Linked DNA regions of Xenopus tropicalis. The protein of the gene in region 1 purifies or fractionates together with the protein of each later gene. This does not show direct contact. Links are inferred from orthologs where the notes say so. Each region holds a gene or a part of one and is shown in the gene's direction. Other genes may lie near its edges.

Evidence for each region. Proteins that work in one complex are often made in the same cells at the same time.
Region 2: the proteins of ago3 (region 1) and tnrc6c purify together in Homo sapiens (affinity purification with mass spectrometry; 3 studies listed by BioGRID and IntAct, with this or other methods). This does not show direct contact. The link is inferred for Xenopus tropicalis from reciprocal best matches to the Homo sapiens genes AGO3 and TNRC6C.
Region 3: the proteins of ago3 (region 1) and tnrc6b purify together in Homo sapiens (affinity purification with mass spectrometry; 6 studies listed by BioGRID and IntAct, with this or other methods). This does not show direct contact. The link is inferred for Xenopus tropicalis from reciprocal best matches to the Homo sapiens genes AGO3 and TNRC6B.

Annotation. Positions count from the first base shown.
Region 1 is NC_030678.2:81,757,616-81,769,013, reverse strand, and holds the start of ago3 (protein argonaute-3), read left to right. Parts: upstream 1-6,165; 5' UTR 6,166-7,111; coding exon 7,112-7,130; intron 7,131-11,398.
Region 2 is NC_030686.2:45,703,268-45,713,926, reverse strand, and holds part of tnrc6c (trinucleotide repeat-containing gene 6C protein), read left to right. Parts: intron 1-361; coding exon 362-2,887; intron 2,888-4,108; coding exon 4,109-4,321; intron 4,322-4,517; coding exon 4,518-4,681; intron 4,682-4,970; coding exon 4,971-5,051; intron 5,052-5,922; coding exon 5,923-5,980; intron 5,981-6,340; coding exon 6,341-6,486; intron 6,487-7,259; coding exon 7,260-7,433; intron 7,434-7,731; coding exon 7,732-7,878; intron 7,879-8,639; coding exon 8,640-8,759; intron 8,760-9,014; coding exon 9,015-9,098; intron 9,099-9,513; coding exon 9,514-9,751; intron 9,752-10,163; coding exon 10,164-10,334; intron 10,335-10,659. UniProt on the Homo sapiens protein: Plays a role in RNA-mediated gene silencing by micro-RNAs (miRNAs). Required for miRNA-dependent translational repression of complementary mRNAs by argonaute family proteins.
Region 3 is NC_030680.2:121,695,375-121,706,033, forward strand, and holds part of tnrc6b (trinucleotide repeat-containing gene 6B protein), read left to right. Parts: intron 1-2,141; coding exon 2,142-2,229; intron 2,230-4,788; coding exon 4,789-4,810; intron 4,811-5,414; coding exon 5,415-5,762; intron 5,763-6,776; coding exon 6,777-9,197; intron 9,198-10,659.

The DNA of each region.
Region 1 (11,398 bases):
GCTCTAGATGTTGCTGCTTTGACAAAGGTCTAGCTTTGGAAAGAGAAGAACAACTGTATTTTTCTCCCACTCCATTCCTTAAGAGAGGGATATAAAATCCAGTGTCACCTCAAACGGCCTTTGGTTTCACATCCGTGCTTAAGGACAAATTCTTTATTGGTGGATATGTTAGTTCGGTACATCTACCTGTTGATAGGATGGAACTGTGCATTCCAACAGGATTACATTTAATTGATATAATGCTTTATTATGCAGTTTTAGATCCTCATGACCAAGTGATGTTTTTTCTTAAATGTCAATTCTCAAATTTTAGTTTGGGTCATGAACTCTCAGACAGGTGTACTGCCTATCTCTCTTCTATACATCTATATCATTTTCCTGCTGCATGAACAACGCATGATATGGAAAAAGGAAAGTAGGGCCCAAGAAGATCACCTTCTAGGTTAGGCTATGGGCAATATCCACATATGATTTCAATATGGCAGCTTCTATACATAGAAAAAAATCCCAGAATGACATGTTTTTGTTCTGTGTATGCAATAAATCAAGCACTCCTATTTTACTGTGAAAGGGCACATACATACCATGTAAGCATATAGACTCATGTAGAAGTGATATTTTTTCAATACTCACTGCAATGCGCTGAACCACCATTCTCAGATGGAGCATTGCTTGTTGCATCTTGCCTACCATCAGTGTTTCAGTGAAGTGGGTACAAGCACATTACAAAAGAATGGGCTTTGTTAACTCATTTATTCTTATGCAGTAGGACCCAATAAAGAACCCACTGCATATAAAAATGTTCACGTGTAAGAGTCGTAATATAATACATTGAAAATGTTATTATTTATTTAAACATAACATCAGAGGGGTGGTACCACTAAAATATAGGATGGTCTGTATGTATGTTGAAAAGTTCTGTATGATTATAAGCGAACACATCTGAAAGGTTTACATCTAGAACTAACAAAAATAGAAAACTGGGCACTGCTCTACTGTGAATAAGCACAGGTAATGTAATATAATTCAGTTTGTAGAAAGTTAATGATGTAATTTCATGTATAGCTAAATATTATCATAATCCTGTTCTTACTAGCGGTGCTACTGGAGTTCTGTGTTATGTGTTGGAAACAAGGAAAGGCAAGTGGTACTGAGGCTTTATGTATCCATGTTGGCTCCACCAAAGCACAATGTGAGTCTCATGAGGAGATGTTGTTTGGGGGGTGGTACCAAGACCATGCAGTGGGGTAGATGAGGTTACGGCAATTACTTTTTTTTTTCATTTGCAAGAGGTTTATATTTAGTATTACTGTCCCTGTTAGGATTTCATGTTAAAGGTTGTAAGCACCAAACTCTGCTTCTTTTAGTTCTGTTTTCTTTTTAAGAGTATAAGAGATAATGTTTTCAAGGCAGTTGTAATGCTCCAGCTGTTTTTGCCTATTTGATTTCAATTCACCTTGGCCTTGTACGGACAATGCATACTGCTACACAAATAGTCTAGGTGGGAATTGTGAATAAGATATTAGCACAGCAATAAACACATATCTTTATTTTGCTTGGCACTTCATGCTTTTGGGTTAACTTGTGATAGACCCTTTTATACCTCTGGATACCAACTGATGTTGGGCTGTATAAAATCACATTCGCACAGGCTACCTTATTTTAGTTTTTCTATTACACTAGCTTGTTTTGTGTCTAGATGTAGCAGTGTTGTATTTTTTGAAAAGTAATAAAATTATATGCCAGCGGCTCGTGCTAAAACACGGCAGCACAAATGTTTGTTTTTTTTTTAACAGCAGATTAATGGTTTATATTTTAAAGCAGATATTTTTTTTTAATGTATTGTTACAATACAGATTCTTCAGACAGACTGAAAAATAACAAATTATGAAAACGCTGCTGCTTGTCCATCAATTGCAAACTGTTTATGAATAAAAGACTACACTGTACTGGTATGTTTTCTTTGATTTGTTACTTTTCTCAGCAGTGGATCCAGACCCTGATACTTTAAATGTTGCAAAATCCACTGCCTCCTCCCCAAAGCATTGCAAAGTTGCCTGTTCATGGGCTTGCCAGATTTATGTTTGTGTGACTACAATGGCAGATTAATTTCTTGTGAGACAGGCAATTATGTACAGCAGATAATTGTCACAGTACTGACTGTGCCGGTGGGGTGCTGTTTGGGCTTCTGTGTACCTGGGGTCTATTTTGACTCTCGGTACCTGCTCTTCAATACCGTTATCACACTTGCCAAATTCTTCAAACAAGTTTATCTAATATCATATTTTATTAATGTTCATAGTTATAATACGTTTCAGTACATACTAGCACCTTACATACTCATCCTGACTGCATACAAATCAAACAAGGCAATTGGAAAGAGCCCTGTCTGTTTATCATGCCAAAGTACAAAAAAAATCTCCCATTTGTTACTTGTTCTTAACAATACTGTACTCCTATTACCAGGGTGTACTTATTTCAACTTGGGTCCATTTCTTTCTAGTATTTGTCTGTCCCCTATGTTTCTCCTTTGATGAAGAATTTCATCACTGTTCATAAACATTGCAAAATGTATGCATCAATTTGGGAGTTAATAAACAACTGTGTAGGAGTCTTGGAACTGGTCTTTCTGAGGGTGGTGTCTTCCTTTCAAAAGAACTCATACAGTCGGAAATCTGGTTTTTCCTGACCTGAATTTGTACACCCAAACAACAATGGTAATTTCCTCTGCAAATGTGCTCCTTGCCACTATCTCTTTGGTTCATTAGAGCTTGAAGACTATCTTGCATCATCTTAAGTGATTTATGTTGGCCTGAAAATGAATGAAGTGAGGCTTGGCATCACAGCTAGTATAAGTTTTGTTAGTTTAAACCTTCCTGTGGATGCATGCAAGTTAATGCTGCATATGGCCAACAACGCCTAAACTTGTACGTGTTGACTGTCTGACACATCTAATGATGTTTATTTGGGCAAACTTTGCTCCTGCTGAGTTTGCATCTTAGAATATTATTGAAGGTGAGTGCAATCTGAAAGAGACCCTGTAATATAAGGGTGATTCATTTATATCTATACATTATAACTCTGGGTGCAAGAGGTTTTTTTTTTCCAGCATAACTTACTGGCTCACACTGCAGAAACCAAGAATAGTTACAGTGAAGCAGTGTAGTTCTTATACAGTTGGCTACAGCTTAGTACATTTCATTGCACAAAACAAGTAACTTGACATGCTTGACAAAGGGGCTGTCTTAGCCTCGAAACATTGCATTTCCGCAATAAAGGATATTTTAAGGGCAAGTCCCGTATGTAGCTCTTGAGTGCCGTTGCTGCTTGCTTGGAGTCTGTGGGGAGGGTGCCGATCCCTCTCTAGCATTGTGCACCGAGCGGTGAATTTCTATTGGAGAGCTGACGGAGTGCGGGTTTAGGTTCGTTGTATAAACAAAACAAGTAACTGACATTGCTTGTGCCTTCCCTTGACTTCTTCTTGCAGCCTGCTTACTTACATCTGCCTTAACCCCAGTCTTCCATGCCAGTATCATCTTTAAGAATCTTCAGTAAGAATTCACCTGCCATATATGCCCCATCAATCATCCCATTTAAAATCACTGGTACAGAGCTCTATTTTTGTTTTGGACAGTATGACATACTCCAAGCATTTTTGAAAGCTCGTTGCTTAACCCAGAAACCTCAATTGTGTATAAGAACCTACCTTTTGATGCTTTGGATCCTTCATTTTCTGAAATACCCTTCCCCCAGACATGCCAGAAATGGATTATAAATACACTATTCCTAGACATGCCAATAAGATCACTACAGAAAATTAACTACATTAACCTGGAGGCAACTACACCAAAATCTTACATGACCTTCCTTTTTAAGACATGTGATACACAGCCAAGGTTTATGTACTTGATATCATACTTGCCAATATATCTGCTGTATTTTTTTTTTACCTACAAGAACCGCCTCACTTTGCTTGTTTTTATGGTCTTCACTATTTTTTCACTTCCTTCTTGCCGTCTGATCCCTTGGCATATCTGAAAAATTCTCCCCACTAACACTCTGGTGGTCAGTGAATTGAGTCCACACTGCTGTGGAAAAAAAATGCCCAGCTGTTAACTACACAGCGCAGCCTCTTTCATAAGCAGGAAAGGGCCTACTCGCGATCTCTGTAGTGCATACAGAGCCTTTCCTGCAGACGGAAGAGACTGCGAGCTGCACTGGCTTCCAATCTCCCAACGATTCAGCAGCACTCGCATTAACTTCAGAATCCTTCGCGGAGGGGTTTTATGCATGCGCGAAACGTAAGCCTTTACGAATCAAATTTATAAAGATTCGCAAACCAAATCTGAAGTAAATGGAACATGGATGTGACATGTAAATATCTATTCCCAGCGAAAGCTTCCGGCCGGTGGAAAATGGAACAGAGCAGTTTTACAGACTAGGAAATAGATCTTTCAGTATAGTTGGACTAAAATCTAGTGGGAAAAGGAACAGTAATAGAAACTAGACAATTTGGTCAGACATATCTAGTTCCTAGTTGGTAATAGAACAAAGCAGCTTTACAGATTAGGAAATAGATCATTCAGTATAGTTTTGCTAACATCTAGTGGGAAAAGGAACAGTAATAGAAACTAGATAATATGGTCAGATATATCTAGTTTCTAGTTGGTAATGGAACAGTGTACCTTTACATATAAGGAAATAGACTTTTTTTTATATAGTTGGACTATATTCTAGTTGGAAAATGTATAATCATAGGAAATATAAAATATAGTGCATGTAGGATAGATCCTACTTGTTTTCACACTGCGGCAAGTATGTGTGGTAAGTAAGTTAGTAGGGAGGTAGGTAGCCAGTCCGGTACCACAAAAACCTCACACATTCCCAGGTCCTGTTACTGAACAGTGCATGGAGCTGTTTGGAAGCATCACATTTCCATGGTAACAGCTGCTTCCGGTTACTGCAACAGTCGCAGACATCGCACATCTTTCAAACGCTCCAGGTGGCATCCCATCCAGGCCCGATCAGCCCGCCCCAAAGTATGGTCATGTGACAAGGAAAGTCCGTTCCTGGGCGCACACACACACACACCAGAATTATGCCTAAGCACACAAAAACCTGTCCCCTCAAAAAAAATTCAGCCATCCCCTAAAATTATGCAACACACCAAAAATGTAAGCAAATTCCAAAACTCATCCCTATAGCTCACACATTTGCAGCACATCCACCCACCTTCACCTGAAAATGTCAGAATACACAAAAAAAATAAAAAACCCACTTCAATAAAACAAAAATACACACACTTAAAAACTTAAGAGCATCTATTACACCAATAAATAAAACCACTTGACACATAACCCCTTATATTAAGGGCACACACACCATACAGAGACCAGCAAGTGTACATACAGCTATAGCCAGCAACAGCAAGTGCATCTTTTTTCCAAATGTACAGATAGATCCCACAAGGAAAAGTGAATACAGATTTTATTCTACACCTACAAAAGCGAATCATTTCAACTCAAAAGAGCTAAAAGCACTTCCTGCGTTCAGTGAAGTGTTCTTCTCCAGGCATCCACCAGTAACCACTAAGAGCTGGACTGTGTTCTGTTTATATAGCCAAGTGAAGAAGGCGCCTACTAGGCTCTAAATGTCCTAATAGAAAAAAAAAAGCCACCCCCAAAATTATCTAACTCTCCAAAACTCTTCCCCATAGCTCAGAATTGTGCAGCATGTCAACATAACCGAAAAAAAAATCAAAACCCCAAAAAAAAAACCAACAAAACGCACACCCCAAAACTCATCAGCACCCTTAAAGCAAGAAATACAAGCACTCCACATATAAGCAGGCTCCAACAACCCCCTAATATTAAGGGCACACTCCTTACAGAGAATAGCAAGTGTGTAAAAGATCCACAGCCTCCACTGAACAGCAAGAGCCCCAGTATTCAGGCAAGAACTGAATAAACTCCTGCATTTAATCCTATCCCAAGAAAACAAATAATGCTTCCCAGCGCAACCCAATACTCACTCAATAGCACGCTGTGCCACTACCTTTAACAAGCCATTCTCTCCATAGCATCCCCGAGTAACCACTGAGGAGCGAACTCACCCATAAGCTACTTATACAGGCGTTTGAAGAAGGCGCCGAATGTTACGTGTTGGAGACGTCGCCACGTCTTCACGTGTTTGTGATGTCACTCGCCATTAGCAACTAGGAACTAGCAGCTACCGTTACTCCCGGCGTCATGTCCGGCCTGAGTGGGAGGGTGCAGGCATCAGAGTCTCACTCCTCCTCAGTAGTGGAGGAGACAGGAGGACCGGGCGAAGTCAGTGGCTGCTGCTCCATCAGAGGCAGATAACATAATTTGTTTGGCTGACGTGGACGGAAAACTTCACCAATAAACTCCTAGCTGTTGCCCTGTCAACAGGAGGACCCCCATACTCCTCGGCAGCCAATAGCGACCAGGTGCTCTTACTCCGCTGAGGTGTTGGAAGAAGTCAGCCAATCGCTTGTTGGCTTTCATTGAAAATTAACACTCTGGCAAAAAGGTAACCAATCAGGGGCGGCAGTGGGGTGCACAAGAAGCTCTCACTCCGGTCGCTGGAGTATGAGTCAGCCAACCAGCTTTTGGGGTTCCCCACTCAGGCCAGTGTGGTGGAAGTAAGCGATGAGGACTTGGAGGTGACTCAGCCAATCACCAAGGCAACCGCCATTGCGCTGCTATCCATTCTCCCCTCCCACTTGTTCATTCCAGCCAATTGCTGCTCAGCTGTCAAGCTCTTATCACAAACTCCTGTTGTGAAAACAGGCAGCCAGGTGACTAAATCCCCCCCAGCTGTGGAGTTGTGTGACAAGCCAGCAGGAGAAGCCAAGAGAGAGCCCCATTCTTAGAGTGACTACTACACTACACTGCCAACTAGCTTTCCTCTATCTGCCTGCAAAAGCTCAGTGCCATTGGTTGTTGGTGGCTCAAAAGGGTCTTGTCTTTGGGGGCAGTAGGCCCCAGTGCTTAGGGTACTCCAGGAGACAAGAGGAACTCTTTGCCATCTCTTTTCTACTCCTCATTGGGAGCTACAGATTCGGTGAAGCGTCCATTGACCTCCATGAATGGAAATCGGAACCGCAGGTGAGGAATAGTTTGCTGTTCTGTTAACTCAACATTCTGTCAACAGCATTCTGCATTCTGGAACCTCTGGAATTGATTTGATAGTGTATAGTGGTAATGTCTAACTGTTGCAGAGGTAGCTGTGGAAAGATTAGCAGAGTGTAGTCCAACAGCTTGAGGAAAGTTAGACTTTTTTTTGGTGCTGCAACTATACCCCATTAGTCCCTGTCATTTCTCATTTTTTTCCTGCTAAATACACATCCAACAAAGGGGCATTGCTTGTTTTTCTCTTTTTTTTTCCAAAATGTATTGTTGCACTTAATCATTTGGCTATAGACTGTGTATTGAACTGTAGGTAGACTACAAAATGCTTCTTTGTTTAAACCCCATTGGAAGCATTGCAAATAAAAAACAAGTTGCCAAAGTGTTACCTGTGTTGGATAACTGACATAAATAAGTATTTCCTTTCCTTAACCATGATTGTCAGTAGTCCATTAATAGTCAACTTGGCACCATAATAACAAATATATAGTAGTTGTCTTGTGCCCTAGCGCTAGCAAAAGATTCACCACAGCTGTAAAAGTCTCCTGCTTCCACTTTCCTTTGCATTTATGCTGCTGATTGTTGAGAACAAAGTAATGCATCAAATAAGGCAGTGGTTCCCAGACTGTGGAGCTGATGCCACAAGGGAAGGGGGTGTTTCATGACCTGTATAAAAGCTCTTGGCCTTCAGCCTCATTCTTTTATATGTATGTATATATGGTCCTAAAACCTATAATATGCTTATATTACACATTTTTCACAACATATAATGCAGGAATGCTACTCCTCTTCACTGCCTTTCATCTGACAAAATTGTCAATAATCCAAGTCCAATAATCCTTAATCTACCATATGCCTGATCTAGCCGTTTAATACAGCTTTTCTGTCAACTGTACAATTGCTAATTAAGGGGTTCTCTCTATATTTGTACATATAATTGCTATTAAGTAGTATTTGACGGTTTGTATTCTCTGCACTCTTGGCCCTGACTCCTGAAAAGACCTTTGGGGACCTAATTTCAGTTACATTGTTTATTCCTTTATGTTTTCTGGGTCTGATTCTTAAAAACAAACACTGATTTAATGTTTAGTTAAGGTCCCCTTTACCACTTTCACTGGCAGTGTATTTGTTGTACTTCTATTGACGGTTTTTGAACATTTTGTGCTCCTTCATTTTAGGGGCCTTTACTGGGGGTACTTAAGTTTATAGGTTTTAAAATATGCTAGAATGTTGGTATAATTTCATTTCTGTAACAAGATATATCCTTCTAAATAGCTAAAAAATAAAAAAAAATCCATAATGTAAACACATATCAGAGACATCATTTATTTTATGCAAATAAATACAACTGATTTGGAAAGTACCATGTACTGAACATACCAATACCAAATATTTATAGTTTTATGGAGTTTCATGGATTTCTCACCCAAAACTTTCATTGGTACACTACCAAATTTCAAAGCACTGGTCCAGAAATCTGCATACTTCAGATTTCAAGGCCAAAAATTTGACTAACAGTAGGTTCACCCTAGAAAACCATGCATTTTTGGGAAGAACAAATTCTGATGAATCCAAAATTAGTAAATATGTCTCTTTACTCCAAACTACCAAGTTGCAGTGCTTTCCTAGAGTTATCAGTTTTTAATTTTTTTTAAAAAATTTCCTCAAAGCTTCCATTTGCAGAATCTTATCTCACACATGATGGCCAATGTGTATAGGTTTACCAAAGTATGTGGTATGTAGGGGCCCCAAGATGAAGACACTCCATATGGTCAATCATTTATGTCACTTCAGCTACTGTGAGAAGAGTAAAGCTACAAAAAAGTTTCGACCATAAAGCCAAATATTTTTGGAAAGTAGACATTCCCCCAAATCCAAAATGGGTACACACATATTTCTAATTCAAAGTACCAAACTGCAAAGCTTTATTAAAGCTGGCGGATTAGATATTATTTCAAAAAATCACCTCAAAGAATCTAATTTGTAGCATCTTATCTCCCACATATCATTAGATAAAACATCCTAAACATGAATGCATAGGTTTACCTAAGTATGTGGCATGTAGAGGCCCTAAGATGAAGATATATTTCCAGCTTCTTCAAAATCAACACATTTACATCATTTTATGTGGGGTAAAGCTAAAATAAAGTCAGTGTACCCTAGTAAAAAATGTTTTGGAAAATATTTTAAGATTTCCCCGAATCCAAATTGGGTACACATCTTTCTAATTCACAGTACCAAACCGCAAAGCTTTCCTAAAGTTGGCAATTTTCCTCAAAGCTTCTTCTGCGCAGCATCTTATCTCCCACGTATCATTATCATTAGGTACCAAGATAAAACTTCCTAAATTTGAACCTCAGGGGTCTACTCAACAGCTCTGATGCCCAATGTGTATAAGTTTATCTAAATACATGGCATGTTAGAGACCCCAAAATATATCTTGTGCATACTAATTTCATGGCTTACAAATTTACACTTTTTCATAAACGCACCACGAGTTTATTTGTGGCAAGAGCTGAAAAAAATTATGGTGATCCAGGAAAACAATATATTTTTGGAAAGTACATATTCTGGTGAATCCAAAATGGTTAAACAAAAATGTTGCAGTTTGCTACGTTAATCTCGTACATTTCTTACATACAAAAACAAATCACCCTAAATATGAACGCCAGAAGTCTATTGAAGAGTTTGATGCCCAATATGCATAGATATACCAAAGTATATATGTACAGACCCCAAATGAAAATGGTGCATATAAATGTTCATGCTTTTGCAAACAAAGCCCCAACTGCATATTATATACTGTAAGACCCCTAAATGTACAGAGATTCCCAGAAAACCATATATGTGATGAATCCAGCATGGGTAAAGGCACCTTTATACACCAAAGTAACAAACTTCAAGGCTATGCTAAAAAACACATAAGGAATAATAATTGTGCAAATCAATCAAATAGCAAAATGATTCAACGGTGTAATTAATGGTCAAAATGCCTGATCCAATAGTCACTCTGCCAAAAGACAAAAGGGTAAAATACATTTAAAAAATGAAGTAAAAAAAAAAAAAAGCTGAGGTTTGTATATACATGTGTGTACGCTTCTAAAAGTTGTGCGAATGTGTGTGTATGTGTTTATATAAGTGTGCAAAATAAAAAAGCAAACAAATTTACTAATCTTTACTAAAAGTTGTATGTAAGTGTATAACAAATGACCTCCTTTCGGCTAAAGCCAAAAAACACTACTCGCTACTAATACTTCTCGATCTCTCTGCTGCTTTTGACACTGTGGATCACCCTCTTCTCCTCCAGACTCTCCGCTCTCTTGGCCTTCGTGACACTGCCTTATCCTGGTTTTCATCTTATCTCTCAGATCGATCCTTCAGTGTCTCTTACAATGGGGAATCATCTTCTCCCTTGCCTCTTTCTGTCGGGGTTCCCCAAGGCTCTGTCCTGGGCCCCTTACTATTTTCTCTCTATACCTCCTCACTTGGCAAAATAATCAGTTCTTTTGGCTTTCAGTACCACCTCTATGCTGACGATACTCAGATCTATCTTTCCTCTCCTGATCTCAACCCAAAGCTTCTAACTCGCGTCTCTTCCTGCCTGTCCGCTATCTCCACTTGGATGTCCCAACGTTACCTTAAATTAAACCTCTCTAAAACTGAACTGGTTCTCTTTCCCCCATCCAACGCCCACATTGTTCCCGAGGTATCTATAACGGTTAACAATTCTGCCATCACCCCATCTTCCCAGGCCCGGTGCCTTGGGGTTATCCTTGATTCTGCCCTGTCCTTCACCCCTCATATCCAATCACTTATCAAATCATGTCACTTTCACCTAAGAAATATCTCCAAAATCCGATCATTTATCACCCAAGATGCTGCCAAAATTCTTATTCACTCTCTTATAATATCTCGCCTGGACTACTGTAACTCCCTATTAATTGGCCTTCCCCTCCAAAGACTGTCCCCACTCCAGTCCATTATGAATACTGCTGCCAGGCTCATACACCTCTCCAACCGCTCCTCCTCTGCCATCCCACTCTGCCAATCCCTGCACTGGCTTCCCCTACCATCCAGGATAAAATTCAAACTAATGACCCTCACATTTAAAGCAGTCCATAACTCTGCCCCACCCTACATCTCTGAACTCATCTCTAGATACCATCCAACCCACTTGTTACGCTCCTCTACTGACCTGCTCCTCAACTCCTCTCTCATTCCCTCCTCACACGCTCGCATTCAAGACT
Region 2 (10,659 bases), on another chromosome or scaffold:
AAGGGCCCTATCACATTCCCATCAGTCCCTACCCCAGTGAGCTTACAATCTAAGGGCCCTATCACATTCCCATCAGTCCCTGCCCCAGTGAGCTTACAATCTAAGGGCCCTATCCCATTCCTATCAGTCCCTGCCCCAGTGAGCTTACAATCTAAGGGCCCTATCCCATTCCTATGCTTTGTTTACCTTGCCACGTTTCATAGCACAGATATTCTGGCCCTGAGGAATGGATATATTACAAGGCAGTAGAGGTAGAGGCACTTAGTATGTGTATAGGGTGCCCAGCACTACGGGGACTGGGGGGGGCATAGTATTGAAGCATTCAGCTGACTAACATGTGCCTTTTCTTTCCCCCTGGCAGATCTCAGTCACAGTGGTTTGGGAGACCATTATGAGAATTCCCACTGGGGACTGCAGCCGTCTCTCCGAGGTGAAGCCACTTGTAGCTGGGATAAAGTGATAATAGACAGGACTGACAAGGAAGCGTGGCCTTCCATTACTGGAACTGAGAGTGAATCTGCCTCAGAATGTACTACAGACACTGACTCTGCCTCCAACTGTGGCTCAGAGAAAAGTAGCATGGCTACTAGTGCCCAAGGCAACTTCACTGGACATACAAAGAAAACAAATGGCAATAATGGCGCCAATGGAGCACTCATCCAAAGCACTTCTAACCAGAGTGCCCTTGGAGCTGGTGGGGCAAATGGTAATGGGAACTTAGCCAGAGTTTGGGGTGTCGCTCCAGGCTCCAGCTCTGGCATTGCTCACTGCCCTATTGGTGGTGGGGATGGCAAGGTGGACAACATGATTGGGGAGAGCAGGAGTCATAACTGCTGGGGCGCTTCCAACCCAAATACTGGCATTAATCTTAACCTTAACCCGAATGCCAACCCAGCTGCCTGGCCTGTACTTGGACATGAAGGGACTTTGGGAGGCGGCAGTCCTTCCAGCATTTCAAGTCCAGTCGGTGCCATTGGACAGAACATGGGCAACCAGAATGGAAACGCAGCTGGTAGTTTAGGTGCCTGGAGGAACCTGCAGTCACAAGAGAGCACAGAACCACAAACGTCCAATTCTCAGAATGTGTCTTTCAGCGTACAACCTCAGAACCTTAACACTGATGGACCAAATAACACTAACCCCATGAATTCTTCACCAAACCTTATTAATGCAATGCAGACAAATGGACTGCCAAACTGGGGGATGGCTGTCGGAATGGGGGGCATCATCCCACCCCACCTGCAAGGCCTTCCTGGTGCTAATGGTTCAGTTTCTCAAGTCAGCGGGGCGGGAGGTGACGGCACGGGCAGCTCGGTGTGGGGGTTATCGCAGGGCGGCCCGTCTGTAGGAAGCTGCGGTTCAGGGTTCAGTCAGGAAGGAGGAGATGGCAGCTCTAAACAAAATGGCTGCGCAGTTCAGAAAGATGGCAGTGGAATGAGTGCATGGGATTCAGGACCACCTAGTAGCCCCGGGGTGCTGCCTTGGGGGAGAGGCAGAGGCAGCGTAGGAGGCATGCATCCCGGACCATGGGGTCATACTGGACATAGCACAAGTAACGGTGTGAACGGTGAGTGGGGTAAGGTCCCAAACCAGCATTCCAGCAATGACATGAATGGAAAAGGACCCACAGGGTGGGACAGCCCCAGCGTTGGCATGCAGAGCACCCAGCAGGGAGGTGAGCAAATGAATTCTAGGGCCAAAGCGGTTGCATCTGTCACTGCAGCCAACGACAGATGCACCGGCGCTGGGAATGCCAATGAAGGGAAGGGAGGAGATGGTCAGCAGGGAGACCCTGGGATGGCAGAGCAGATGCCAAGACAAGATCTTGACCCGAGAGTCCTTTCCAATACCGGCTGGGGACAGGTCCCCGTCAGACAGAATATTGCATGGGAATTGGAAGAATTTCAGCGTCCCGATCATAAAAATGTTGGGACGGAGGCCTGGGGGGGTTCAAATACTCAGCCTTCAAACTCAGGGGGAAAGAGTGAAGGGTCCATCATGAACAGTACCAATACCTCTTCAGTATCGGGGTGGATGAACACCCAACCTGTGTCTGCCCCTGTAAGTGCAAGCTGGGGAGAAAAAACGCCAAATGGTCCAGGGGGGTGGGGGGAACACGCAAGCTCTACTGTTGTCAATGCTGCTGCCAAAAGTGGTCACGCTTGGAGCGCGTCCGCTAATCAGGAGGACAAGTCGCCCACCTGGAGTGAGCCTCACAAGTCCAAACCCCAAGGGTGGGCCGACGGGCAAAAATCAAATCCAAGCTGGAGTTCTACGGGCGGAGACTGGACCGACGGGCCCCCTGTTCCTCAACACATTACCGACGGAAAGAAAAACGGGACAGGGTGGGACTCCGACAGTAAGCCTGGATCTGGGTGGAACGAGAACTCGCGGCCTGGGACCAGCGGGTGGGGAAATGGCACAAACACCAAGAATAATTCCGGTACAGGCTGGGGGGAGCCCATGAAAGCTCCTCAGCAGCAAAACTGGGCCAATAAACCCCAAGAGAACAATGTGAGTGGGTGGGGAGGAGCAGCATCTGTAAAACAGAATGGATCTGTGTGGATTGGTGGACCGGTGCCAGCAACACCACCAACCAAACAAAAGGATGCTGGAGCTGATTCCACCGGCTGGCAAGAGCCTTCTCCGCCGTCTATACGCCGTAAGATGGAAATAGACGATGGTACCTCAGCTTGGGGTGACCCGAGCAATTATATTAAAACTGTAAACATGTGGGATAGGAATAATCCGGTATCTCAGAGCATCCCTGCAACAAACACCAACTCCGCCGCCACTCCCAGCACCCCTCCAAATACCAATATGGTTGAACCTCAGCCAACTCATCAGCCAAGTGCCCAGCAGAACCGATCCCCACTGCTCGGTCCAGGTAGGTTGGCCATAACCACTTGTGTATGGAGTGGAACTAATTCTTAAGCATATTCTGCTCTCGTTGTGTTTCTGCATGCTTCAGACTCAAGCTGTTGCTGAACTACAACTGCCAGACTTATACTTATACTGAATATACAAGAGGGTGGCAGGTTGGCCAGCGTTGGTAGTGCTTAGGCTTTAGGCTCGGCATCCATTGCCTTTCTGCTCATTCTGGTGCTAACTCATACAGTCTACTCCAAGTACACTCTGTCTGCAAAGGGTTAATCTCCCCCAGTTCCTACAGAAGCGCAGTAGTGGGCACCCTATCAATGTCACCTCGGGGCTGGGAAAGCGCCGGCAGGATTAGACTCAGGTAGATCTCCTTATTCACATGCTGCCTCTTTGTTCTTAGCGGCTTAGGTGTCCTATTAAAGCTGTCTAAAATTGGAGTTGAATAATAAACATGGTAAGGAAGTCCGTGCCCACGAGATCACGTTTTCGTCAATGCCAGAGGCCACATTTAACATCAGTCTTAGCAGAGACCCACCCTTGGTACCCCAGAATCCTTAGGGATCTTTAAATCCTCTCTAGGGTATTGTCTACCTGACACCTCACATCTACTTTATAGAAGTTAGAGGGATCATGTAGTAATGGGCAAAAAGGTTTAAACCAGGTCTAGTAACCCATAGCAACCAAGTATTCTTTACTAATAAATATCTGGTTATTAGCATTGAGTATGAGGGCTCTCCATCTTGTAAGCACTTCAGCTGTTTATTTAACTGCAGCTCTCAGCATCCGGTGCACTGCCTAAAGGTGCCCATACACCTTCAGACCGCTTGCTTGGGGGATATCGGATCTTCTCCCGATATCCCCCACCTACGGGGGAATTTAGGCTATTTCACAACGGGTATAGGCAAAGTCGGTCCAGGGACTGCACCAACGAGCCGATGGGGTCCCCGATCCGACTAGATTTTCTAACCTGCCCGATCGAGATTTCAGGCCAGATATCGGTCGGGCAGGCCTGTCGGTAGTGCCCATACACGGGCCGATTAGCTGCCAAATCGGTCTATGGCTGCCGATATCGGCAGCTAGAATCGGTCCGTGTATGGGCACTACCGACAGGCCTGGGATCAGGATGTAGTTCAGCAGTTGGATATGATTTGCAGGCAATGATGAGTGAGGCTAACTATATAAGGATGGCTAGGATTGGTTACAGAGTGACAGTGCTTCTATTTTGCAGGCTGGGGAGATTTGCCTAATGTTAACTCAAAGACTGAAGCCTCTTGGGGAGAGCCCCCATCCCCGTCTGCTGCTGTCGACAAAGGCACTTCGGCATGGGGGAAGCCCAAAAACAGCACTTCAGGTTGGGGGGACGGCTCTGCGGAACCTCCCGGAACATATGGAAGGACAAGCGCTCCTGCTGCTGCTGCTGCCCCCATGCTGTGCAAACCAGGTGGGGCGCCCAGGTTATGTTGTACTTATTCACTGCCAGGCCCGCAGCAGGGACGGAAGCAGAGATATACAGGGCCCCACGGTTCAGTTCCTGTGCTGGGATTGTTTAGTCATGCCTTTCAGAAGCCTGACAGACAGAAATGTACCTTGTATGGAAACTCATTGCTTAGAAATCCACCATCTTTTCTTTTCTGCAGCTCCCAAATCTATGCAAGAAGGCTGGGGTAGTAGTGGAGAGGAGGCCGGCCTGGGCAGCCAGTGGGAGGAAGATGAGGGAGACATGTGGAACAATGCTGCTTCTCAAGACAGTAACTCCTCCTGCAACTCGTGGGGCAACGGCCCCAAAAAAGGACTTTCCAAGGTAAGGGGCAGCCTGCAGGGTAATAGCTGGCACGGTATTAACTCCATATCTGCCATAATGGCCGCGGCAACACTCCATTTGTATACAGTTTGCCCTGCTTTCTACATGCAGTGGGGCTTGCAACTGGGGGCCTAAGAGCTCCGAGTTCTATACGCCATCTTGATGGAATTTTTCTTTTTCCTTAGAAAAATGATTAAGCTGCCTTTTGCCAAAGCAATGCCCTGGCAGCCATCCCAAGCTCTGCTTTGCTGTGGGCTGTCATCATTGTGTAATTGCTCTATTTGCACAGGTCATAAAGACTCCAAGCAAGTCCGACGAGGTCTGGATCATGTCCCGACTGACTAAACAGCTCACTGATATGGGCTTCCCGGTGCGTGTCGCCAGAAACGGCTTGAAATGCAGAGCAATGCTTTATCTGACACGGGGCTATTCCGTGTACTTTGTCAGCCGTGGGAATGTGCATAATAAGGCAGGCTGGGTTTAGGGGGGGTGGTAACTCTGGGATAGGGTGTATAGTAAGGCACGATGATGTCACGGGAAGGGGCTGGTAATGGATATTTTGACCCATGTCTATGACATTTCTGCTGGCTGGTTCTTTTAGGCAAGCAGTTATCATTACTCCTTGTGAGCTATAGATTTGTGTGGTGGGGGGGCTGACGTTGCTGGGAGTGGTAGTTAGGGGGCTAACGTTGCTGGGAGTGGTAGTTAGGGGGCTAACGTTGCTAGGAGTGGTAGTTAGGGGGCTAACGTTGCTGGGAGTGGTAGTTAGGGGGCTAACGTTGCTAGGAGTGGTAGTTAAGGGGCTGAAGTTGCTGGGAGTGGTAGTTAGGGGGCTAACGTTGCTGGGAGTGGTAGTTAGGGGGCTGAAGTTGCTGGGAGTGGTAGTTAAGGGGCTGATGTTGCTGGGAGTGGTAATTAGGGGCTAACATTGCTGGGAGTGGTAGTTAGGGGGCTAACGTTGCTGGGAGTGGTAGTTAGGGGGCTAACGTTGCTGGGAGTGGTAGTTAGTGGGCTAACGTTGCTGGGAGTGGTAGTTAGGGGGCTGAAGTTGCTGGGAGTGGTAGTTAAGGGGCTGATGTTGCTGGGAGTGGTAATTAGGGGGCTTACATTGCTGGGAGTGGTAGTTAGGGGGCTAACGTTGCTGGGAGTGGTAGTTAGGGGGCTAATATTGCAGGGAGTGGTAGTTAAGAAAATGTTTAAGGTTTCTCATCCTTTCTAAAAACCTTTATCCCTCTTTACAGAAAGAGCCTGCTGAAGAGGCCTTGAAAAGTAACAATATGAATCTGGACCAGGCCATGAGTAAGTGTCCCAGTCACTGGTGTAGGGTATGTGCCAGCCAGTAGTACTCTCTTGTCCGGCCAAGCCATTACACATGGAGGATTTGTTTTCCTTTAGTACAGAGCTCATAACAGCAGTGAGGTGGTGGAACTGCATCCCAAATTGAATCTCATCCTGCCCCTATGACTTTACCCCAGGGGGAGTTTAATGGGGCACTATACTATATTTTGCATTACCCTTTATACTCACATAATGTAATATGATAGAAATCAAAATTAGCCTTTCGGAGCATTTGTTTTGTAGATGCTGGGGTCAGTGACCCCCATTTTCAAGCTTTACAAGTCAGAAGGAGAATTTCTATATGTTTTGCCTTTCCTGCAGGCGCTCTCCTGGAAAAGAAGGTGGAAATAGACAAGCGTGGATTGGGATTGGCAGACTATAATGTGATGGTCACCAAGCCCCTGAGCTGCCGCCAACCACCAATCTCCAAAGAGTCTTCCATGGACCGCCCCACTTTTCTTGACAAGGTAACAAGTGGTTCTTTTTGGAACCAATGGAGCGATTGTGTATGAATGTGCCAGCCGTGTCAGTGTGTGTATTTAGCAGAATAGCTGGGATGTCACCAACTGATAGCTGGTAATGATTGGGTACAGACTGGCCCCCCCAGTCATCGACAGCCACTGATTGGTTGGAGGTTCAGCCCAGCAGTATAGAATACTTGTATTTCCATTCTATGGGGAAGGGGTTGTGTTTGTGGGCCATGGGAAATCCTGCTAGGTTATTGGTGCAGTGGCACAGGGAGTGTTGGAGCTTTCATTCTGTAACTGTTATCCTAATGCTGACATTTACCTTTGCCGAATGACCGAATGTCTACATGCACAAGGTTAGCCAAGGGGTCTTTGCTTTACATGAGGTGCTGGGGGCTCAGAGTATTTAGGAGTTTGTATAAAGCTCAGAGGTGACTTATTGGCCCCCGATCTATTCAGGCTTTGCCCGCTGCTGCCCTGCACAGACTGGGCTGGGGGGGGAAGGGAAGGATTAGTGGGATATTGACAGAACAGCTGAGCGAGAGCAGCAGACATATGAACCATGTGCTTGTCTCTGCTTAAATGTCAGCAAAGCTTTTAACCCCTCAGAAGCTTTGGATCTCGTTGGGTACATGAGGGATACAGACCCTGCTATTGCCCTGCCCTTGCTTATATTGTATTGATTGGCTCTGACTGGGCTCCGTACCCTAACAGCTCTCCTCCCTCTCTCCCCACATGCCTCTCTGTGCCTTCTCTCTGGATCCTGCCAACAGCTCACCATCTCCCTCTCCAATCAGGATGGCGGCCTAGCGGAAGAGCCCACTTCTTCACCATTTTTGCCTTCACCAAGCCTGAAACTCCCCCATCCAAACAGTGCACTCCCTAATCAGGCCCTGGGTGCCATGACAGCAGGGCTTGGCATGCAGAACTTGAATTCCACTAGACAGGTAAGACAGGTGTTTGTTCAAGAAGGGTACCAACCTGCAATCTTTAGTGTGTGGCAAGGGATCTAAGTACTATCCCAATGCACGGGGCATTATGCTATATATATATATATCTGTCTTTGGCCGCATTAGGGAGCAGAGAAGCCATACTAAGTCACTGGAGCCTAAGAATTTGTGCTGTATTGTTGTTTTAATCATTATTCTCTCTAAGGCACCGCGTTGCTTATCTTCCCAATTCTAAATACTCTCTACCATTGTTCCTTAATATGCGCTTTTACTCACTGTCTCCATGTTGGTACAGATGCAGAGTGGCAATCTGGGTATGTTTGGCAATAGTGGAGCAGCACAAGCCAGGTCCATGCAGCAGCAGCAGCAGCCACCAGTGCAACCTCTCAACTCATCCCAGCCTAGTCTTCGTGCTCAAGTGCCTCAGTTCTTATCCCCTCAGGTGCGTTTGTTACTGAATATGTGTGTAGCATGATGTGCTGTGTATTGTAAGGTGGGCCAAAGCATTCAGTCACCCCAAGTACAGTAGCTCATTCTACAGATGTATCCAAATACCACATTTTCATTGTTTCTACCCTGACTGGAGATTTACAGAAGACAATAGTGGGTGATAGTAAGTGTTTGGTTTACATGAACATAGGAAGTTTAATGCTTGCCATACATTATAAGATCTGCCCTTGTGGCGAGGTCACCAAACAAGTGGATCTTTCCCCCATATGCCTGGTAAGGTGGGAGATATCTGTTTGTTTGGCCCTAGGTCCAAGCAATCTGGTCACAACCACAGGATACAGTTGTCAGGGCAAGGATCACATCGATACCTTCCTCAGTCCGATGGGAAATCAAACCTGCCTGACTGACATCTGGCAGATTTTCGCCCAGATATCAGTCAGGGAGGTCCGTCGGAGGGCCCCACACATGGACAGATAAGCTAACGACTCGGTCTGAAGTGCCCAAATCCACCTGTGTATGGACACCATTACTGTATATAAATAGACCTACAAGCAGTAACTGCCTTGTCCCATATCCGCCATTTTGGGTCACCTTTTAATTACCACTTGCTAAAACAGACTGCTTGCTGGCATACTACAGGTCATCCTATTGTTTCCTGGTAGCCATATTTGTGAGGTACAGGGGGTGCTCTTTATCTAGCAGCCTTGTTATTGCAGCTGGAATAACACTCTCTGGTTTCTCTTATCGTTTTAGGTTCAAGCACAGCTTTTGCAGTTTGCAGCAAAAAACATTGGTCTCAACCCTGCACTATTAACTTCGCCAATTAATCCTCAGCATATGACCATGCTGAACCAGCTCTACCAGCTGCAGCTGGTAAGTACCAAGTAGCCTCTGTAGTACAGACACGGGCAATTAGAGATGGCGTTACACAGCTCTGACCTGTGTGTTGCATTCAGCTGAGCATTAGATATCCCATACTCATGGACTGCCAATGAAATAGAATGAGTAATCTTGTCATCCTCCATTAAGTCTATTGCTACGTAAGGGACTGCCGCAGCTCCCGTGCTCTGCGCTCCTCTGGCTTGGAACATTTCCACCGGGGTGACCTGTCCCTCATTTTACCTGCAGGCGTATCAGCGTTTACAACTCCAGCAGCAGATGTTACAGGCTCAGCGCAATGTTTCCGGACCCATGAGACAGCAGGAGCAGCAAGTAAGTGGAATCCGCTCAGCATTGCTTTTCACACCTCTGCAAGTGTCATTGAATGCTAAAAGGCATCTAAAAGCCAGCTCCCATCCCAGCGTAGCCCCATGGAACCTCACGAGCAATAGCAGGAAAACCACTCTGGGAAAGCTCGGGCAGCTGTTATTGGGCAACAATGAGTGGGGTGCAGGGAGTTGTAACGTGTGTAAGATAACATCCTTCTATCCTTTATGCAGGAATGGTACCTAAATCCTACTTCCATAATGTCAGTCAGTTCTCCACAAGGCCCCTTATGCCTCCTGGGACCCCCAGAGTCTGCCTCCTCTATAGTTACAGTAACAAGAGTTAGATAGATAGCAACACACTGTTCTTATTATGTGTTTCCCATGATTTCCATATGACGTGTGTATTGTGCCCTTTGCAGGTTGCACGCACAATCAATAACATGCAGCAGCAGATCCAGCAACACCAACGGCAGCTGGCCCAGGCCCTGCTCATGAAGCAGCAGCAGCAGCCTCCCCCTCAACACGCTCCTTTGCACCCCCCAGCAGGCAAGTCTGCGCTGGACACTTTCTCATCCCATACCCCGGCCCCTGGCCTGTCCGACCTTCACACCAAAGAGCAGCAGTCTTCATCCAGCACCTTCCCCCCATACCCACTTGGTGAGAGTGCAGCATTAGTAAATACATGTACTGGCAGCCATTACGCCCCAGTGAAAGAGCTGGTGGAGAACATGCGTGTACTCATTAGGGGTCTTTTCCCGCTTTACGTTGTTAAAGGCATGGCAGCACGTAAAGAGTCCCCATGGCTGCACCTCCTTAACAATCTGCAGGCACGTTATCAGGGTGGGCCAGCATAGCAATAAATCAAACAGGGGGCTGCAAGTGGAAGTACTGACTGTTTCCAGCTGTGGGGAACTACAGGATTCCATTAGACATAATGGACAGGATTTTGCTCACTGACTGCCACCCCCAATCTGCCATGCAGTCTTCACTGTGGGGCTCATGTGATTGCAGGGTAAACTTGGGTGTGACTTTAGCCTTTAGCTTCCAGTAACCCCTCATCTCTCTGCAGTGGCTGGACTGAACCCCGGCATGAATGTAAACAACATGGACATGGCAGGCAGTTTGTCAGTGAAGGATTCATCTCAGTCCCAGTCTCGTCTGCCACAATGGACTCACCCCAACGCCATGGACAGTCTGACAAATGCTGCTTCTCCACTTGACCCCAGTCCTGGCAAGCCCGGTAAGTCGGGCACTCTTTGTGCAGTGCCGTAAAGCTGCGCCATGTTACTATACAGACGTACATTTGCCACATATAACAGCAGGTTACATTTCCTTCAAGGAAGACTTGTACCTCAGCTGTGAATTGTGGACGAAGCCCCTTTGCCAGCACTTTGGTCACTCAGGCACCCAATGAAGGCAAACGGAATGTAGTCATTATGTTGTCAGCAGTTTAGCAGTCAGGTCAATGGTATAAAGACACAGGCGCTGGCCAAGCAGCCCAACACAAACACAGCAACAGGGTTACAGATATATAACGGTTACTGAGCTAAGCTGCTTTATTTCCA
Region 3 (10,659 bases), on another chromosome or scaffold:
GAGACAATCTTCTTTTTTTTTCCTTTTTTGGTAGGGTATCATACAATGGAGCAATGTCGTCTACTTTCTTCAATATAAATATATTTATGTTTCCTAGCAAGCATTGCCAGAAATGTGTGGTCTAAAGCAAACCTTTATCCTTGTTGGTGATCAGGGAGAGTTGGAATGATGTATTTATTATAATCGGGCATTTATGGAAAGCTCCAGGCAAGCTTGGTGGCTAAATAAACAATCCAGATTTGCATGTTTAAAAAGAAAATGATTTAGAAAACGGAATAGCTGTTTAAATCTGCATTATATTAGACATCAGTTTAATATAACTTTAGACCCCGGAGCATAGCATTTGTAATGGCAGAATGAAGTAAATTTAACAAGGAAAACTACGTTCATATACTGGCAACCTGAATAAGGGTGTTCTACTTTATTTACTAATCAGCAATTTTTGTTCACTATTCTACTTCAAATGACAAAACTACTGATACAATCTGATTGGTTGCACAGCAGGATCTCTCTATAATATTCCAGTAGGTGGAATGCATTCCAGTATCTGGGCACAGCCTGGTGCAAAGATAGAGTAAAAATAACCACAGTTTAAAGAAAAAAATATCAATGTACTCAGGAGTTTACCACACAAAAGGGGAACTAAAACCTTTAAGAAAATGTAAATCTGACTCCTGAAACAATGTAGCACAAGCAACTGACTAAATAACCTAACATCTGCTACATTGTTTTAAGAGTCAAAGGCGGGAATGGAAAAGGGCCAAACAGACGCTGCTTTCAGTTGCAATTACCTTTATAAATAAGTTTAAAATCATTAGAAGTGTTAATGAATGATTATTGGAAAGTTGCTTGGCAATATGTTTACTTTTTTTTATTTAAAACCTACTGTGAGTGTTTTTTCTATGAAACCTGCGTATGTGTTCATGGGTTTGGCTGTTTTTAACAGGATCTGACCAAGAGAATGACCTTGGTTTCATTTGTAGCCTGTGTTCCTCACAAACAGTAGCGATCAAGGCCATAATGTGTGGTTGAAATTCCTGCCAGCTTTTTCTCTATTCACAGTGCTCAGTGAGCCGCAGCCATCCTTGTCAGTGTTGCCGTGTTCCAGCCAATGAGCAATTGAATAGCCATTGTGCTTGATAGCTGTTTCTTCATTACTAGTTATCGTCTGTAAGGCTAATATCACACAAGGCTGTGCAGGGAAAAGGCAGGCAGAGAGAAGTACATGCACTCCCCTCTGCCGTGTCTCTGCGCTGACAGGCCCCCGGGGCATGTATATTTTTTGCCAATGTCGATTTTGTGTGTCTGCCCATAGGCTGATGCTGGAGAGACACTGTGGAGGTTGATGTTTCAGCTTCTCTCTACCTGAAGGTAAAATACACTCAACAAATACAGCCACTGGAGTAAAGGTGTCCATACAAGTGCCGGCAAAAATGCCGACACTGGCCAATAAATAAACTATGTTTGGAGAGGCAGTGGTGGAGCTTGTCATGGTGCCTGCCCAGCCAATATCTGGGTTGGAAAATCCTGTCGGACAAGGAGCTGATTGATGCAATAATGCCACCTCATCGGACTTACTGTAGGCCCCACTGGATGATCTAATCCATGGCCCTAGAGCAACGACTGGATCAGCCCGGCTTTGCCCAGCACATGAATGGCCATACTGGGGGCCGACCCACTTGTTTGGTAGCCTTGCCAAAGAATCGATCTGGCTGTGTATGGCCAGTTTAGTGTTGTATGGAAGCTGAACACATCTGCAAATACAGTCTAATTTTAGCTTCTGTGTGTAGGAAAAGCTGTTTGTTTGTTTTTTTTATTAAGAATACTGTTATACCTTTTAGTATTTATAAAATATTGTGTTTGAGTGAAGACTGTGAATGGAGAAACTATGTACTTGCTGTTTTCTTACTTCAGGTGAAAGGATATAATACCAGAGCAAGAACGTATAGAAATCCTAGCATTTCTCCAGACAGGTTTGAGTCTGGTTTGTGTTTCTGTACAGACTAAAAAAAATCACTGCTCTACAAAATAAATAGGAAGCTTATAAAGAACTAAATTAATGCAGCTGGAAGGAAAGTCTATGAATTGTCGACCATGAGATTTATAGCCTTGCAAAAACATAGTACTTTTTGTTATCCTAGAGAGAAGGAGCAAGAAAGGGAAGAACAGTTAATGGAAGACAAGAAAAGGAAGAAAGAGGATAAAAAGAAGAAAGAAGCTGCTCAGAAGGTAGGTTCCTCTGACTTGTCCTTGCTTTAGTCCTTTCTTAAATGTGGTTTATGCAGCTATGCAAGTATGGCTCAGGTAAATAGGTTTAGTACTGAAAATGTAGTCGGCCTAATTATTTAAAAGGAAAGGTGTAGATATGGTTTATGGTCTTTTTTTTAATGTTGATTTTAATTGCTTACCTGAGACTCTGAGCTAGTGCTTCTGTTTAGTAGAAACTGCACCAGCCTGAGTACTTCTGTAGAAACAATGCATTTGCACAAGTTCTACTGACTACATATTGTATGAAGCTTTGGGGATTTATGGGGATTATTTTATGCTATCAGGAGCCATATGGAGTCATATTGTTCATTTTTTGTTGCAGCTTCTCTTCACCTTCTCATCTGCCAATACGCTGGTCAATATGCTGCATCAGCAGATGCATCAAATCTTTGTTTATACAATTTTATTTGTGTGTGTATGGTCATCTTTAGAAGGGGAACTTCCCTAATTATATCATTGCTTCATGATCTGAAACTTTTTTCTAAACTGCCAGCCGTCACTTGATTAAAATAAATTAAAAAAAAACAAATCTGTGAATGTATGGGCAATGTTTTTATGCCTTATTTATGCAGCGATTTAATGACTGAAATATTTTTTGTGCGAAATTGCCATAAGACCTGTGGCACATAGAGAGTTTTGTCTGCTATTCATGGAATCCCCAAGATTTCACATTTAGTTGTGGATGGTGAGCAGCAGAAAGCCTTTAGAATAATGCCAAGGTGGACGTCTTGCTAGCTTCGTAGGTGACAAATATAGGCAGCTGCCCTGGGCCCTTAGTAACTTTTGTGCCCCTGAAGTAGAGACTTGAGGTGCATGTTAAATTTTTACTCTCTGAACTGTATATCACAGTTATAGGCAATGATTTCACAAGTCTTTAATTTCATTAGGAAGAAGTTATGACTAGTTATTATAGACCTCAGAGAAGGTCTTAAACCCAAATGTCTTGTCTAAATATTCTAGAATCATTCACCTTCTAATATTCCTAGTTTCAAGATTGCAGCTTTGCGTTTAGCACGGCAGTCCTCATAACTCTAGATTAGTTTTCTTTTTTTTTCTTTACAGGCTACCAAGTTACTTATTACATTGTGATGGTGTCTGTGGAGAACCAGCATTTAGGGTTACAGTACCTGTTTAGGGATCCCTAAATGTCTTAATTATGCATAAAGCAAGGACTAGAAAAACCACTGAAGGGTCTTCCTATTCCTTTTGGTTTCTGTCAAACTACCATAATACTTCGTTATAAGCTTTTGCTAGGAAAAGATCATTGCCAATCTGGTAGCACAATGAGTAGTATGTGATGGAAGTTTGCATGGGATTATATATGTGTAGTCCTAAACCCAGCAACTGAATTCTCTCTTCCCGCCCCCACCTTAAAAAAGCAGGTTAGAGAAATTATGCCTGCAGTGGATATCTATTCAGCTTGTATTAACAGAACTGCCTATCCAGCACTCTGCACTTACAACATAGGAAGCATTCAGGGGTGTTTTCCAATAGTCTGCATACCTTTTGTTTTCCTTTCTTATAAAGTAAAGTTACCAGATTATGTGGAAAGCAGGAATGTTTCCAGAAGATTCAGCTAGAAATGCCCTGATTATCAGTGCACACACAGATTCATTAAAGGCTAATATGGCAGACAGAATTTGGGGCTGTCCTTTTTAAGAGTAAGAATATTTATAATCTAGCATGACTAAGGAAGACACGTACATTGTTCTTGAAACTTGTAATTTTTCTTATGGTAGAGATTTTATCAACCTACCATTTTTTTAACTTCACCAAAGCATAATTATAGGGGCAGTTAAAAGTTCAGTTCAATCTTTCCTTCTTAATAACTTCATAATCCATAATAGTTTTTTTAAAATATCTGTTTTCTGTGTTTCTAAGCATGTAATAATTAGATGTGCCCCATGGTGCCTCCAGGTAAATATTTATGTTCAGTTAACGCTGAATTGCCATTTTGATAACATTAACTGGGCCACTAAGTTTATTTTAAAAACAAAAAAAATTACTAAAGACTAATTAGCTTGTTGGTGTTGTCTCTATCCAAGACTAGTCAGATAATTCTTGGTACAGTGCTTTATAGTCTGGTGGAGACCAATATCGCCAAGGGCTAAATGATCATGTTAGTAAGTGATATTGGCCTGTAGCTTCTAGGGTGTTGAGCATATCCCCAGTTTAAGTAAATGAAATGTGTGCCTCCAATGATTGTGGGTTGGATTCTGTCCCCAGTACAGAGGCCATTTAAAACTCTACATAAGTGCAATGTAAAGTTTAAATTACTTCAGTTCTATATCGAGTATCTTTCAGACCCAAGACATTTTTTCATCAAAGATAAGTTCTTAGAATTCTTTTAGGGATATGTATTGTTCTATAATTTCTAGTTTCTTAATTTAATTTGATTTCAAGTATTCTTTTATTCATATCATTTTACACATTTATATCATACTACAAGCATAGGAGGGTACCGTAGGATATTGTATGGATTGCTAATGTTTCTGTTCATTTTCTTTTTTTTTCACACAGGTCACAGAACAAAAAACCAAAGGTAAGTTGCTGAGCAACATATGTGTGCTACTAATGTGCACATGAAAATAAGCGGAGGAAGATGCAGATTGGGATTGGGGTTGGGGGGGGGGGTCCGCTTTCACCATTAATGCTTGGTTATACATATTAACTTTTGCATTGTATGTGTAAAGTTATACATTCTGATACATAGACGATAGCCAGTAGAAATAATCTTTTTTTTTTTTTTTTTTTCTTTTTATAACCAGCTACTAAGGTGGAATTTATTCATCCTCTAACATATTGCCTAGCAACAGTACATATGTTTTTAATATGTTTGCAGTATTCCTTCCTATTTTATTATTGTGTATGCGCTATAATACATGGTGCCATAGTGGAAAAAAATGTAAACAGCTCTTAGTTCTTAGCTCATATTAAACCAGAAATGATTTTATTTACATATACTTACTACTGCTTAGGTTGTGATTATCTCCCTTCCCTTTCAATTAAGGACCTTGAAAGCCAATTAAATCAATGTAATGGCTAATTGATGAGGAAATCCAATGCAGTCTAACTCTATAGAGGAGCAGACCTGATTTATTGGCTGATTATTGCTGCAGCCTCATTTAAGCTTTGTGTTTCTTTAGTGCCCGAAGTGACGAAACCAAGTTCAAGCCAAGCGACGGCCGCCAGCCTACCTGGCAGCTCCCCCTCGCCACCAGTCAATGGTGGCAACAATGCCAAAAGGGTGGCAGTGCCGAACGGACAACCGCCCAGCACCGCCCGCTATATGCCTCGGGAGGTGCCGCCGCGATTCCGCTGCCAGCAGGACCACAAAGTGTTACTGAAGCGTGGACAGCCTCCTCCAGCGTCCTGTATGCTGCCGGGGGGAGGAGCAGGGACTCCCCCCTCAACCACTGCTCCAGGGGCCGGCCCAGGCAACGCACAGCCAGGGGCGGGGACACTGCTGCCAGGGGAAAGCGGGGCTTCAACAGGTTGGTATGGGTGCTAATGGGGTCTTCATAAATATCCCTCTACAGAAATCTGAAAATTCTGCTAATGGCTATATCGATCCTCTTAGTTGTTGTCACATTAGGTAATGTTGCTGCTGCTTGAACACCTAGGATGACTGAAAGACTGCATTGCAGCCTGATCTGTATGTGGTTGTGCTGCTTCTGAAGCACAATGACTCCTTTCTGCGGTCACTTAGCAGTGTACGTGTTGTTCTGGAGTTGCTTTTCAGACATTAGGAATCTCATTCACATCTTGAGGCCTCTTCAGGGGCATCTTGCAATAAATCACTCTTTTGAATAAACATCTGTAAATTCACAGAATTACAGCTGTAACATTTAGAGAACATTACCAACTAATAAACATGAACTACCCACTTCTACTCCCCTCACAATCTTTGTTTTCTTTTTAGCATTAGCCTACACATCACGGAGAGTATTACCTATGCTGTTAGTGGGCAGACCTTCAAAAGTGCTTATGTTCTTCATATATATATATATATATATATATATATATATATATATATAGCTGAATATGAATACAGATATCTTTCCTCATTATGAGCAAGAGGTCCTCCAAACCAAACATTTGTCTGTGAAAACCCCTACCTTATAAGGTCACTTTCTAGTACTCTCCGACAACGCATCTTTTGACCTGGGTGCAATATGTTATTCAAATAATTTGTACTTGGTTAGGGCTACTTTCTATATTTTTTAAAAAATGTTTACATACTTGTTTTTTGTAATCAAAGTTTTCCAGTTCCTTTGTGGCATAAATTTCAGTTGCTTTTAGTGGTTTTAAGAAAAGAATGACACTAGATAGAAGATATGTGTTCATGTATTAGTAATTAGTATTAGTAATACCCAACTCTGTATACATGGTTTGCTGATTTCTAACTCCTAACATTTTTATCTTATTAGTTTTTAGTGCTACTGGATGTCCTTAATAAATTAAATAAATTATCTAAAGACTAATGTTCTCTTTCTCTAAAACTGCAGACTCATCATCGGGGGCAGCTGCTACTTCAAATTATGCAAATTCCACTTGGGGCTCAGGAGGCCCCACCAGCAGCGGCCCCACCACAAACCCTCCCCACGCCTGGGACAAAGTGATTGTAGACGGGTCGGACATGGAAGAGTGGCCTTGCATAGCCGGCGTGGACGCAGAGCCCCCTTCCGACAACGCCACAGACAACAACAGTGCCTCGAACTCAGCCTCGGAGAAGGGACCCCCACAAGGAAGCACCACTAGCCACAAAGGGCGAGGGGGCCAGGGCCAGCAGCAACAGCAGCAGCAGCCTGGTAGTGAATGTATCCAGGGCGTCTGGAAATCTGACCCCAAGGCTAAGCCCGTCCCGTCTTCCAACCCTGCTTCAGAGGGTGTAAATAGACTGGGAAACTGGAGAAATGGGGGTGGGTCAGAGAGAGCAGGTTCTGCCTCTGGTTTCAGCAACTTTAATCCAAATACTAACCCATCTGCTTGGCCTGCCCTTGTCCAGGAAGGCAACAGGAAAGGGAACCCAGAGTCAGACAGCAGCTTTTCTGGCGCACAACTCGGCCCAGTGGGTTTGACCTCTCGGGAGCAGCAGTCAAAGATGGAAAATGCAGGTTCCAGCTTTGCAGGATCGGGCAGGGAGTCTGCCACAACCCATCACACTGACGGACCAAAAAATGGAAACACTAACTCTACGAACTCAAATACTTTGAACCCTCCTGATAACAAGGGAACAGCTTTTGGGGTGGGCTCAATGGATTCCTGCCGGGGTTCAGACTCCCCTGCTCAAAGCACTGGAGAAAGAAAGAATGGGGGGATTGGCTCTTGGGGAGCGGGAAGGGGTCAGTCTGCCACAGGAGATGCTAATTGTGGACATAGCAACTCTGGGAGCAATGGACGAGAGAGAGAAGACGCAAGGAAAGCGCCTTCATCTCATAGACCCAATGGGTCAAGGGGGGAATCTTGGGAAAGCAAAAGTGGGAATGGTTCTTGGGGTTACAGCCCGCAGGCAGACCTCAGTGAAGTGAAATGGAGTGAAGGGAACAAATTGGGGGCTGGAGGGGCGTCTCAGGGAGAATGGAAGCAGCCAGCCGGGCATGAGGACTTAAAGGTGGGAGAGTGGGGAGGCTTGAACCAAGGAAACTCTAGCACTGGAGCATGGGACAATCAGAAGGGCCACTCTCTATCGGATAACCAGGGCAACACGTCATCAGCAGCCTGCTGGGGCCGAGCCCCCAGCTCTGCAGGAAGTGAAGCTGGGGGGCAAAGCACTGGAAGCAACGCTAAAGCAGGGGGGAGCGGAGGAAGCGGAGACAGCCTGAACTCCAGCAGTCGACGTTCACACAGACCTGCCCTCCCAGACAGTCAGGCTGCTCTTCAGACTTTACTGAATCGCACTGATTTGGATCCCCGGGTGCTGTCCAACTCTGGCTGGGGCCAAACCCAGATCAAGCAAGATGCATCATGGGAGAGTGAGGAAGTGCCCTCTCGAACTGAAGGCAAATCAGACCGTGGGACTGAAGGTTGGGAGAACGTGTCCCAAGCCAAAACCTCAGGGGGTTGGGGGGATGCTCCCAGCCAAAGCAATCAAAACAAGTCAGGCTGGGGGGAGCCCCCTGTCCCTGCACCTTCAACCCAAGAATGGAAGGACACCAAAGCAACTGGCTGGAATGACTATAAAAACAGCCCAACTGGTTGGGTTGGTGGAGGAGGTGGTGGGGTGGTTGGAGCACGACCAGAGGACAAGGCAGTTCCAGGTTGGAACAATGAAAGTGGTGGGGCTGCGGAGCCTGGGTGGAGTACTCGCCAGTCTAATCCAGGAGGTGGCTGGTCAGCAGGAAAGAATGGTTGGGGGGGAAATGGTAGTGAGGACATGGAGCCTCCCAAGGCCCCTGGAGGCTGGGAAGGCTCAGGAAGCAAATCCTCCTCTGGCTGGGGTGAAGTTGGACAAAATGATGTGGGTTCTTGGGGTAATGGGGCAAACTCAAATCCAGCTCCACGAACTGGCTGGGAGGAGACTAAGAGGCCCCAGGGAGGAGGAAACTGGGGTGAGGCAGCTAGGCCCCAACTACCCTGGAACAAACAGCAGGAATCAACGCCATCTTCAGCAACTCCTAGCACCTGGGGGGGCTCTCAGGCTCCCCCGCCACCTGGAAATGGGAGGTCACAGCCAACTTCAGGGTGGAAGGGTGGTCCCCAGCCAACTGTTTCCAAGGAGGAAGAGCCAAGTGGCTGGGAGGAACCATCCTCACAATCCATTGGTCATAAAATGGACATTGATGACGGAACAGCAGCTTGGGGGGATCCTAACAATTACAATTACAAAAATGTCAGCCTGTGGGACAAGAATGCTCAAGCAGGCCCTGGGCAGATGGCTCGGGAGCAAGGAATATCTGGGACATTGGCAAACAAGGCAGCTCCCTCAGGTATGTTTTACCAAGTGATTATATTCTTTTACCATAAAACCTCCATTTTACATAACTTAATTTCCCCTGAAGTTCACAATGTTTTTTATGGCCCCACCAATGCATTTCCTTGATTTTACATGTCTCTGGATTTTACACCATTTTTTCTGGTCCCTTGGTAAACATATAATGGGGGCTCTCCTGTATTGTGAAACAGCTGATATTAAGACTTCCCAATTATACATTGCTTCCAAGCAAGAGTCAGAGACTGGTTAAATAAAATTTACACTATTATGGCTACTAGGTATAGTGTACTTTAACTCTGAAGTCTGAACTGTGTTAGCAGTGTCATCCCTCTGGCAAGCTGTGCTTCCATTCCTATCGCTTTTCTGTTTTGTTTTTCAGCTTATTTGAATTAACCATATGACCTAAGAATTGGTATTTAATTTATTCCTTGCCTTGTTTAATTACTAATATGTATTGCAGAATGTAATTTCACTGTTCTGAAGGGGATCGAGCAGGCCCAATTTTGTGCAAAGCATTAATTGTTCTGCTTAAAGGGAACCTGTAACCCACACTTAAAAAGTCATAAGTGTTTTGCATTTTAAAATCTGAGTTGTCAATCGTATATTACCTGTCCCGTGGAGCAGCCAGTTACTTTAACTTCTGCTCTTTCTAGATATGTCACTGCACTCCTCACGCTCTATAATTGTGTAGCCTGGGAATGGGCATGGACATTAGGTCCCCTATTCTGACGCACACACAAGATTTGGGGTTATACAAAACTTTCCTCAATAACAATGCTGTGACTGTGAATTCCAAGACTGAAACAAAATTTAAATAATTTATATAGTGTAAGTAAAGTTTATTTTGCTCAACTAACATAATCGAAAAGGATTTGGAATTATTTTTTTAGGGTGACAGGTCCCCTGTAACAGCAGGAGCTATGTCTTTTTTTTATAGCTGTCTCAGCAGTGTCATAGATCTTGGCTGCTGTGATTTTAATTATACCTTTTGTATAACTGACCTAAAGAGGCTGGTATAGCAACTTTTCTGTGGCTCGCAAGTGTCTCAGAAAGGGGTTAACCCTTTTTGGATAGTGAAAGAAAATGTGCAGTAATTCTTTGCAACTTTCCAATATGCATTAATTACAGAATCCCAATGTTTTTAACATTATTTGTGATTGTTATTGAAAGCATTATCTGTCTGATTCTTTATGTTCTTGGCTCTCCTGGCTTTGGCTCCTGCAACTATGTTGCAAGCCAGCATGCAGATGAGACCTAACTCCTTTTATATAGTTTTAATAGACCAAAAGGAAAGGGATAAACAAATTACATTTAAACTGCTGGTGTTTTTATCACTGTATAGTGTAAAGTTGCTTAGAATTACATTTTCCTTCACTATCCAAAAAGGGATTGACCCCTTTAAGTGTGTCAAGACTGTTGGTAATGCTTGTGAGCCACGCACAAGTTGCCATACCATC